Linked DNA regions of Arabidopsis thaliana. The protein of the gene in region 2 interacts with the protein of the main gene of each other region in a pairwise test. Each region holds a gene or a part of one and is shown on either strand. Other genes may lie near its edges.

Evidence for each region.
Region 1: the proteins of CKS2 (region 2) and ICK1 interact in a protein complementation assay, tested with the Arabidopsis thaliana proteins (one study listed by BioGRID).

What each region holds. Positions count from the first base shown.
Region 1 is NC_003071.7:9,975,870-9,980,152, forward strand, and holds ICK1 (Cyclin-dependent kinase inhibitor family protein), read right to left. Parts: upstream 2,222-4,283; 5' UTR 2,053-2,221; coding exon 1,855-2,052; intron 1,762-1,854; coding exon 1,718-1,761; intron 1,600-1,717; coding exon 1,333-1,599; intron 1,218-1,332; coding exon 1,151-1,217; 3' UTR 721-1,150; downstream 1-720. Other genes in the region: AT2G23440 (uncharacterized protein), read left to right, coding at 3,613-3,861. UniProt on the Arabidopsis thaliana protein: Binds and inhibits CYCD2-1/CDKA-1 kinase complex activity. Regulates cell division which is crucial for plant growth, development and morphogenesis. Functions in turning cells from a mitotic to an endoreplicating cell cycle mode.
Region 2 is NC_003071.7:11,911,623-11,915,698, forward strand, and holds CKS2 (CDK-subunit 2), read right to left. Parts: upstream 1,804-4,076; 5' UTR 1,639-1,803; intron 1,527-1,638; 5' UTR 1,491-1,526; coding exon 1,438-1,490; intron 1,344-1,437; coding exon 1,283-1,343; intron 976-1,282; coding exon 838-975; 3' UTR 529-837; downstream 1-528. Other genes in the region: AT2G27980 (Acyl-CoA N-acyltransferase with RING/FYVE/PHD-type zinc finger domain-containing protein), read right to left, coding at 2,328-2,444, 2,527-2,667, 2,963-3,056, 3,147-3,203, 3,280-3,344, 3,418-3,675, 3,757-3,813, 3,905-3,962. UniProt on the Arabidopsis thaliana protein: Binds to the catalytic subunit of the cyclin dependent kinases and is essential for their biological function.

The DNA.
Region 1 (4,283 bases), 1.9 Mb from region 2:
GTTGACGAAAAAAACATGAACTTTTCAAATGTCATTTAAATCCTAAAGTTTAGTTTGACTTCTTAAAAAATAGTTAATTTAGTTGACTTGGCCATTCCAAACATATCTTTAAGTTTCCCTTAACAATATCACGAAAATAAAACAGCCCTCGATGAAAGAATTGTTTTTGTTTATTTGAGTCCCTCATTTAACCTGTTTGTGATCTGAATTAAGCTTACATATACAAAATGGTCCATGATCATTTGTTTTGAAGATTTTCTGAAATGGTCCATGAAAGAGTTTTGTTTCCAAGTCTTCGGATAATTTGTCTAGTTACAAAATGGTCCTGCATCATTTGGAATAATGTATTTATGGCATTATCTCAAAATTCTCTAACCATTGGGCCAGTACAGTATGCCCTTTACAGATCTAAAGTTTTATTATATGCTAGTATTATTATAATTAAAATTTTGAAAAGTTTCAAACCAAGTTTCGTGTGATAGAATGTTTGTGATTTGTTATTAATCAATAAACTTTAAGAATAACAGAATCATCTTGAAATTCTGATTGGTCGAGCTCAATCATATTCGGTGCTGAATATGAAACAAAAAAATTAGTTGGTGTGGTTAGCTGACATGGTTGGTACGATTTTGTTCAACAAAAAACTGCACTGAAATTGTCGATTAGTTAATTTAAGTAGTAGAACAATAATAACTAATTTCATAGTACTTTTTAATCCATATCAAACGTTGTAAGAAATAAAATTCTAAAATAATTTTAAGCGTTTAGGGCGGTAAGATAATCTACCAAAATGCATTTGATGTTTTTGGTTGAATATTATTAAAACGGAGAAGACAAAAAAATGAGTGTGGTTGTACCTGTGTGGGGATAGAATTTTATCAGTCACCAAAAACATAAAAATGTACTAAAGAATATGCTAAAAGATACACAAGATTCGAAGAAGAGGTAAAAGTAGAGCTAAAAGACACGACTTTTCTGGGCTCTAAAATCTGTTAAAAAGCTTTCTTCTTTTTCTGTGCAATTTCGTACTTCTAAAAACATTCCTCCTACAAATCTTATATTTCCAAATCAACAAAATAAAATTAACTTATTCCCTGAAATATTAAAATCTAAAAAGTTAAAAAAAAAACCATAAACTTCTTCTTCTTCTTCACTCTAACTTTACCCATTCGTAACGTCCTTCTAATGGCTTCTCCTTCTCGAAATCGAAATTGTACCTAATTAAAAAAAAATAAACTCACTCTTAATTTTACCTCAAAATCAATTTTAAATTATGAATAAAAAATATATTATCTATAAAAATCAAACTCACAAAATAAAATAAAAACTTACTTCTTCTTGAATTTTTCTTTGAGTTGTTTCTCAGCTTCCACAAAAAAATCTTCAATTTCCGATTCCGTTGGCATCTCCGTCATCAATTTCGCCTTCTCCTCCTCCTCCGCCGTCACCGTCTCCTCCATCGTTTTCCTCCCGCTACAACAACAATCTAACGATTCTTTAACCGCCGATTCAAATTCCGATGAATAATTCTCCATGGATTTACTTAATTCTTCTTTCTCCTCCTCTCTCAGATTTTCAAAAAGCTTCCTCTTCGTACCCCTAAAATAACTCACAAGCAAGATTCTAAATTTATTGAAGAGAGAGTCAAATAAATAACCGGGAAAATAATAAAACCTTCAAAATTCAAATCATTTTCAGTTTTTTTTTTAACACTCACCGTCGATACGTCGACGTTTCAGTGTCACCATCTTTATCTTCCTCCTACAAAAATTTCAAAATTTCAAAAAAAAATACATTAACATTAAATGATACATATACAGTTACAAGAATCTAGAATCAACAACATTAAATAACCTCCAGATGTATTAATTCTTTCTTCTTATATTCATTGCTTCCACTACAAGACGACGAAACTCCATTATCACCGACGACGGAGACAGAGCTTGATTTTTCCGATCTAACATAAACAATTCTCCGGCTCCGTAGCTGCATATACGTTGACGAAACTCCAGCTTCTACAATTCCTTTAGCTTTTCTATATTTTCTCACCATCTTCGATTTAGGTTACGTGTGCGTGAAGTCACAATCTCTGTGAGAGAGAGAGATATGATTGAGAGGATGAGGAAGAAGAAGAAAGAAAGATGATGAATTTGGTTTTGAACGGTCAGGATTGAGTTTTGTGCTGTGTGTGATAGAGAAATGGCGTGTTTTAGTGGTCCCGTTACAGTGACGGGGAATCTTTAACGGGGAAACTGGAGGCGCCGTTATTTGGATGTTATGGAGTTACTTATGCCGATGGTTTGTTTTATTGACACGTGTCGGTTATAAACGGTGACTTAACGGAACGGGAGGCGTAATAATTGTGGTGTAACTAACTATTTTAAAAACCCTCTCATCTATTGGTAATTCACAGATTTGCCATTACGCGAAACCGTTTAAAATGTTTTAAATTATAATTGACAAGCTTTTTGTATAGTTGGGATGAATTTTATAGTTTAGGTAAAATTAGAAAGTTCATATTACTTTAAAATGAATTGGATAGAGACTATATATAGATTATGTGTATAGTATAGGTGGATTGTTACGGATAGCCTAAAAACTACGTACCTGTGAGTAAAATAAGGTAAAAGTAAAACTGACACTAGAAATTATATTTTTGTTATCCCTGCGTATTTGCTTAGCCTGATGTCAAGTTGTCAACAGCACGTGTCGATCGTGATATATTGGGCTTAATAAGTCATAATATAGTAAAGGTTTCTAAGAACTAAACTTGGCCTCCATCACTTCCCATGGGCCTTGTCAGCCTTTCTATGTTTTGTTTTTGTCTCAAAGCATGAACAAAATGGAGTGGCGAGTGCATTCAAATTACCATGTCTTGCTTTAAAAATTAAAAATATTTTTTTTTTCACTGAAAGATAAATATATACTTCATAATTTCCAACCAAACATACAAAAAAATGTGGATCAAGGACAATCATTCTAGATCAACCAGTATTACACTAGGCATTTTTTTCTTCCTCAAAAAGTTGTTTTAACCAAAAAGAAAACCTAGTTGCTACATACGATTAACGGCGATCATTTTTTGTTACGCTCTTGGCAATAAAGTGAGCATCAAGATTAGATCTCCTTAACTCACCAAGCAATTTTCAATCCAAAAAATTCCCTAGTTTCTCAATCAAAAGAAGGGACTGAAATTTACATGAAGGTCATGCAGACGACTTTTGTTTTAATTGAATAACATAAAACTTTTACTCACTTTACAAAAAAGTATGAATCTATAACCCTAGATTTATAAAGATATTAGAAAACTTTTTATAAATCTTAAATTAATAACAAAGAACTTTAATAAACTTTTTAAAAATCTTGATTGAATAACAAACGATTTTACATAATCGTTAAAGTTCTTTTAAAATCATAAACCAATAATACCCCCTAAATATTTAATTTATCTCCTCAAGTGTTGCGCCCATGTTATGTAAAATTTCATCCCTATAAATACATCAGATGGTCCAAGAGGTTTCATGCATCAATACATAATACATTTTCGCCTTCGACTAAATATTATAATTTAGCTTCTTTTTTTTTCTAATTCTCGTCTCGGTTTTTCTAGTAATGGCGACGATTAATGTTTACGTTTTTGCATTTATCTTTCTTTTGACTATTAGTGTTGGTTCAATTGAAGGCCGAAAACTCACCAAATTCACCGTAACGACGTCTGAGGAAATCAGAGCTGGTGGCTCTGTATTGTCGTCGTCACCTCCGACTGAGCCACTTGAGTCGCCGCCGAGCCACGGGGTTGATACCTTCAGACCTACGGAACCTGGTCATAGCCCCGGTATTGGACATTCCGTACATAATTAACGGAGAGGAACAATAGCATCGTCTATGTGATTACATGTTGAAAATATGATTGGCCTGGTGACTTTTTTTTTCTGAATATGTATTTACGTACAGTTTCGTCATATTCAGTTTCTTGCAAGTGTGATTGTAATAATATTTATTTGATTAAATTAAGATTGATGTAATCCATCTTATTTTAAAAGCACATACATTTTTTTATCAGGTTCCAATTTTCTCATATATTTTTCTATCGAGATGTGTCACTCGCTTGAACTAAGAAATTTTTCTATCGAGATATGTCATTCGCTTGAACTGAATCATACGTAACTCGATCTAATCACAAACCGATTTAGGAATAGAACTATAGAAGCAATTTCGATTACTTGTTTATGTCTTCAAAATCTGTACGTAGAACGAATAACTATCTTTGAAATAATTTGGTA
Region 2 (4,076 bases):
GTTTGAAATTTGGGGAAGATAGTGAAAGGAGAATAAAGTGGTTTGGGGTAGATATGTAATTATGAGGAAATAGAGGGGTGTTTGATTAACTTTTTAGAGTTTTGAAATTCTTTAGAAGACGCCGATTGGGTATGAATGATTATAAACCGGTTAGTTACCAAAATGAATTGAAATTGGGTGGATTGGTTTGGTTCTAATTAAATTCAACAACTTGTTTGGTTGCTTTGACCAAAGACCTTGTTATTTACCATCAAACTACGAACTCGTTCATTTTCTCGAAATTTCATTTAATTCCAACAATCAGTGCTTCACACTAGGTATAAGATACATATCTAGTTAATTTATAAAAATGGCTCTGAATCTCCTGGTTTCAATACACTAATAGTAGTACAGTAAGGAATATATGGTGTTTGGTGAATGTGGTGATTGAGACACAATATGAGTTTCTTTGAATCAGTATCGCCATGAGAATCGTGATTAGACCTTCAGATTGGCATTGTAATGATACCTTGTTTGTTGTTCATAGTTATGGACTTAAGACTCTAAGAGGAGCAATAAAAAGAGGTTGAAATGATGAAACAAGCACATAAGCATGAGAAATAACGTCTTCATTCTTAACCATGAAGAAGTTCAAACGTGGATCCAACCAAAGTCTAGCAAAGGACCAGACTTAACATAACATTAAAAGTTGTTCTACCAAACTCACATGATTCTCCACTGAAGAGAATTCATGAACACAATAAAAAAAACTACAGGAACAAAACATCAGAGTAGTATTTTAAAACCTCGTTTACGAGAGACATAAACAGAGATTAGGGAGAATTTTGCATAATTCTTCTACTTAGCAATCTGAGCTTGGTGCTCCTGCTGGTAGTTAAGAGGCCTCCTAAAGAGCATGATATGTGGCTCAGGACGATGAATCGCGTAATGAACCCATCCACGACTTTGCTGCACTCCGATGGCTCTCCATTCACTCTACAAAACCAGATTGTAAAACAAGAAAACTGTTAACTTCAAAATCAGAAAACTGAGAATTGACTGATAACACAAAAAAATATCTAAACTATCTTCGTCACTGCTGACAATTACACAACCTAAAGTTAATAAACAAGTTAATGAGAAGCAAAACTTCAAATTCCTAAGCAGAAACTTCAATTTCTTCGACTCTCAAAAGTCCAAACTTCAATTTCCTAACTTAATTTCTTAAACATGTAAATCTCTTAGCCTACGATGATTCAAGGGTTATACAGCGAATAGAGGAAAGCCCTAATTTTTAACTTACTTCCGAAAGAATACGATTCTTAGGTAAAAGCTTAGCAACTTCCGGAGGAAGTACAACGTGCCTGAGAGAAAAATAAAAGACCACGCGATTAGACTGAAACTAAAACGTGAGAGAGAACTCCATTAAAATGGGAGGAGAATCAAACTGAGAATCACCTGTATTCGAAAGTATCATCGAAATATTTGTCGGAGTACTGGATCTGACCCATCTTCTTAAATCACCCAACAAACGTCTATTAAATTTACTAAACAAAAGAAATGGAGCAATCTGTCAGTAATCTAAACCCTAAACAACGACGAGAACCTAAACAAATCAGAAATCGAACCCTAATCTAAGAATCGGGAAGTAAAGCAGACCTTGAGAAGAAGTGCGATCGGAAACGAAATGAATTTTAGGGGAGAAGAGGGAAAGCGAAAGGGAATTAAAAAGGCATTGTGGTAAGGAAGTAATTATGGGGATTTATAGGGGCATTTTCTCAACGGGTGTTTTGATTTTTTTGAGTTTCAAATTTCTTAGAGGCGCTCCTTCCCGCTTAGTGGAGCCCTAAAATTTTGATTACGGTTCGACGTTAATCAAACCGGTATAATTCCCGGTTCAGAGATTCATTTCTAAAGGCATCAGTATCTTCCTCTTATAGTCAGAGTTCAGGTGTCCGTATACTCGCCGGCTTTGTATACCTCCTTTGTTCGATATATAAACATCAGTGACAAAAAGAAAAAGATTTCAGAAAATTGAATTTCATTTTTGGGCACTAATATACAAAAAAAAATTAGCTTCGGATAATCATGACTAAACCCCCAAAAGAATGCCCTAATGTTTTAGACTTCCCCATTTACTTCCCCCTCTTATCTCTACTTCGTCTCTACCAAAACCAAATTCTCTAACCCTTTTGTGTATCTTTCTCTCTAGTTTCCATTACAAAGAAAGACACGTTAGGGGAGAAACCTGTACAAGAACGTGGCTACTACCCGAAATTAGATTAAAAAAGAGCATCCAATCGTTTCACCAACTTTCCAAAAACCAAAAAACAAAGACAACCTTGAGCTTACTCCTCCTTACTGGCCTCAGTTTTACTCACGGCACTCGGTGCTGGTACACTCTTTCTCAACATAGATGTTCCATGAAAGATCATCACCGAGTAGTCTTTTCTGTATTCTTTCACCTAATAACACACAAACACAGTGTGTATCAGAGATGGGATTCATTGGGAGTGTATATAAGTTTATATGGATATAGATATATACCTCTTCGTCGGTCATCTTGGTGAAACCAAATTTGTCAGTCCATATGGATTTGGCTTCATCTGCTGCTGGTAGCACGATATGTTTCACGTTTAGGAACCCAAGTAGCCTCTCGATGCAAGCAAACAGGCATTGGAAGTAACCCTACAATAGGAAAAAAAAAACATAAATTCTCAAACTCTCAAAAAAGAGCAATCACAAGCATTTCATCCCCCAGGTACAATTTGACACAAAAAAATTCCTTCTGCAATTAAGATGCTACACATTGTTCTGCTCTTAAGCTATTCGACACAAAAACATGTCTGCTTAGATGTATCACTGTATAATTTATCAATGTATGGGATTGACAGTAAGAGTGAGTCGTTTATTAACCATTCTATAGGAGTAGGCACCTGTTGTAAAGAAAAAACATCCAAGGTTCCAGATAAAAACTGTTTACCTGCCCTTGACAATCTTTGCTGGTAGCAACCAGAGGGAGTTCTGCAAGTTCTGACCCAAAAACCCTAAAGATTCCCACTGAAACAATCACTTCGCTGCACAAGAAACAAAAAAAGGACAACATTAAAAAGATGAAACATGCGTCACAGAAAATAAATTAGAGTGAAAAAGAAGAAGAATCTTACTCCACAGCCAACATAGTGCAGTACATGCCACTAAAATCTTGGGCCTTTGTTTGCCTTCTGTTCCACACACAAAAGTTGTTGATCAGCACAAAGAATAATCCACTCGACTGATTGAAGATACAAAATTGCTTACCCATACACCATGGCTGGTATCAAATCTCCCTTGGTCCCAGATTCACTGATAGGATCAAACCGTTCCTATAGCATACAATTGTTAGAAGGGACAAACAGCAGAAAGGACAGAAGAGTTTGAAATGTGGTCTTGACTTACATGAAGAATGGAAAGTGCCTTTGCAAGCAATATTTTGGTATCATCTGAAGAGGTCAACTTCCCACTAAGGACCCTCCATCTTATGTCAGGAGTGGTTTTATAATCTGGACAGTTTTCTTCATTAGGTTGTTCCTTCTTCCTTAAAAAATTCAGAATATTGTTACTTAGCTTCTCTTCTCCGCGAACTATCAGATTGCCCAATGTAGTGTTGATCTCTTCGCACCCGAGGGAACAGAACCATTTTTCTTCAGGTAGCTCCTGTTAAGACATAACAAGAATGAGAAAGATAGATACTGAGTTTTCACCCGAGGGAATGAAAGAGCTAAATAGGCAAAGAACCTTGAGATCAGCAATGTCACGTTCTTTCAAACAGCCAACATGGAATTCCTTTTCACACTGAGGAGAAAACAACAAAACCAAAAATGGTGAAGACCAGAAGCAGATTTAAGAGGCAAGGAACCCTATACAGCAATGAACAACAAAGTACCTGATCACAGATAATCACAGTGCGAGCATTAAAGCCCAACCTGCAAAAACTATGACCTCTGCAACAACATAGAAAATTAAGCAAAGGTCAGTCTCATAAGCAAATGGTTTCAGTTAGCCAATACACATCTTCTCAACTAAACATTTTTAATGAGACACTATGAAGGAAGACA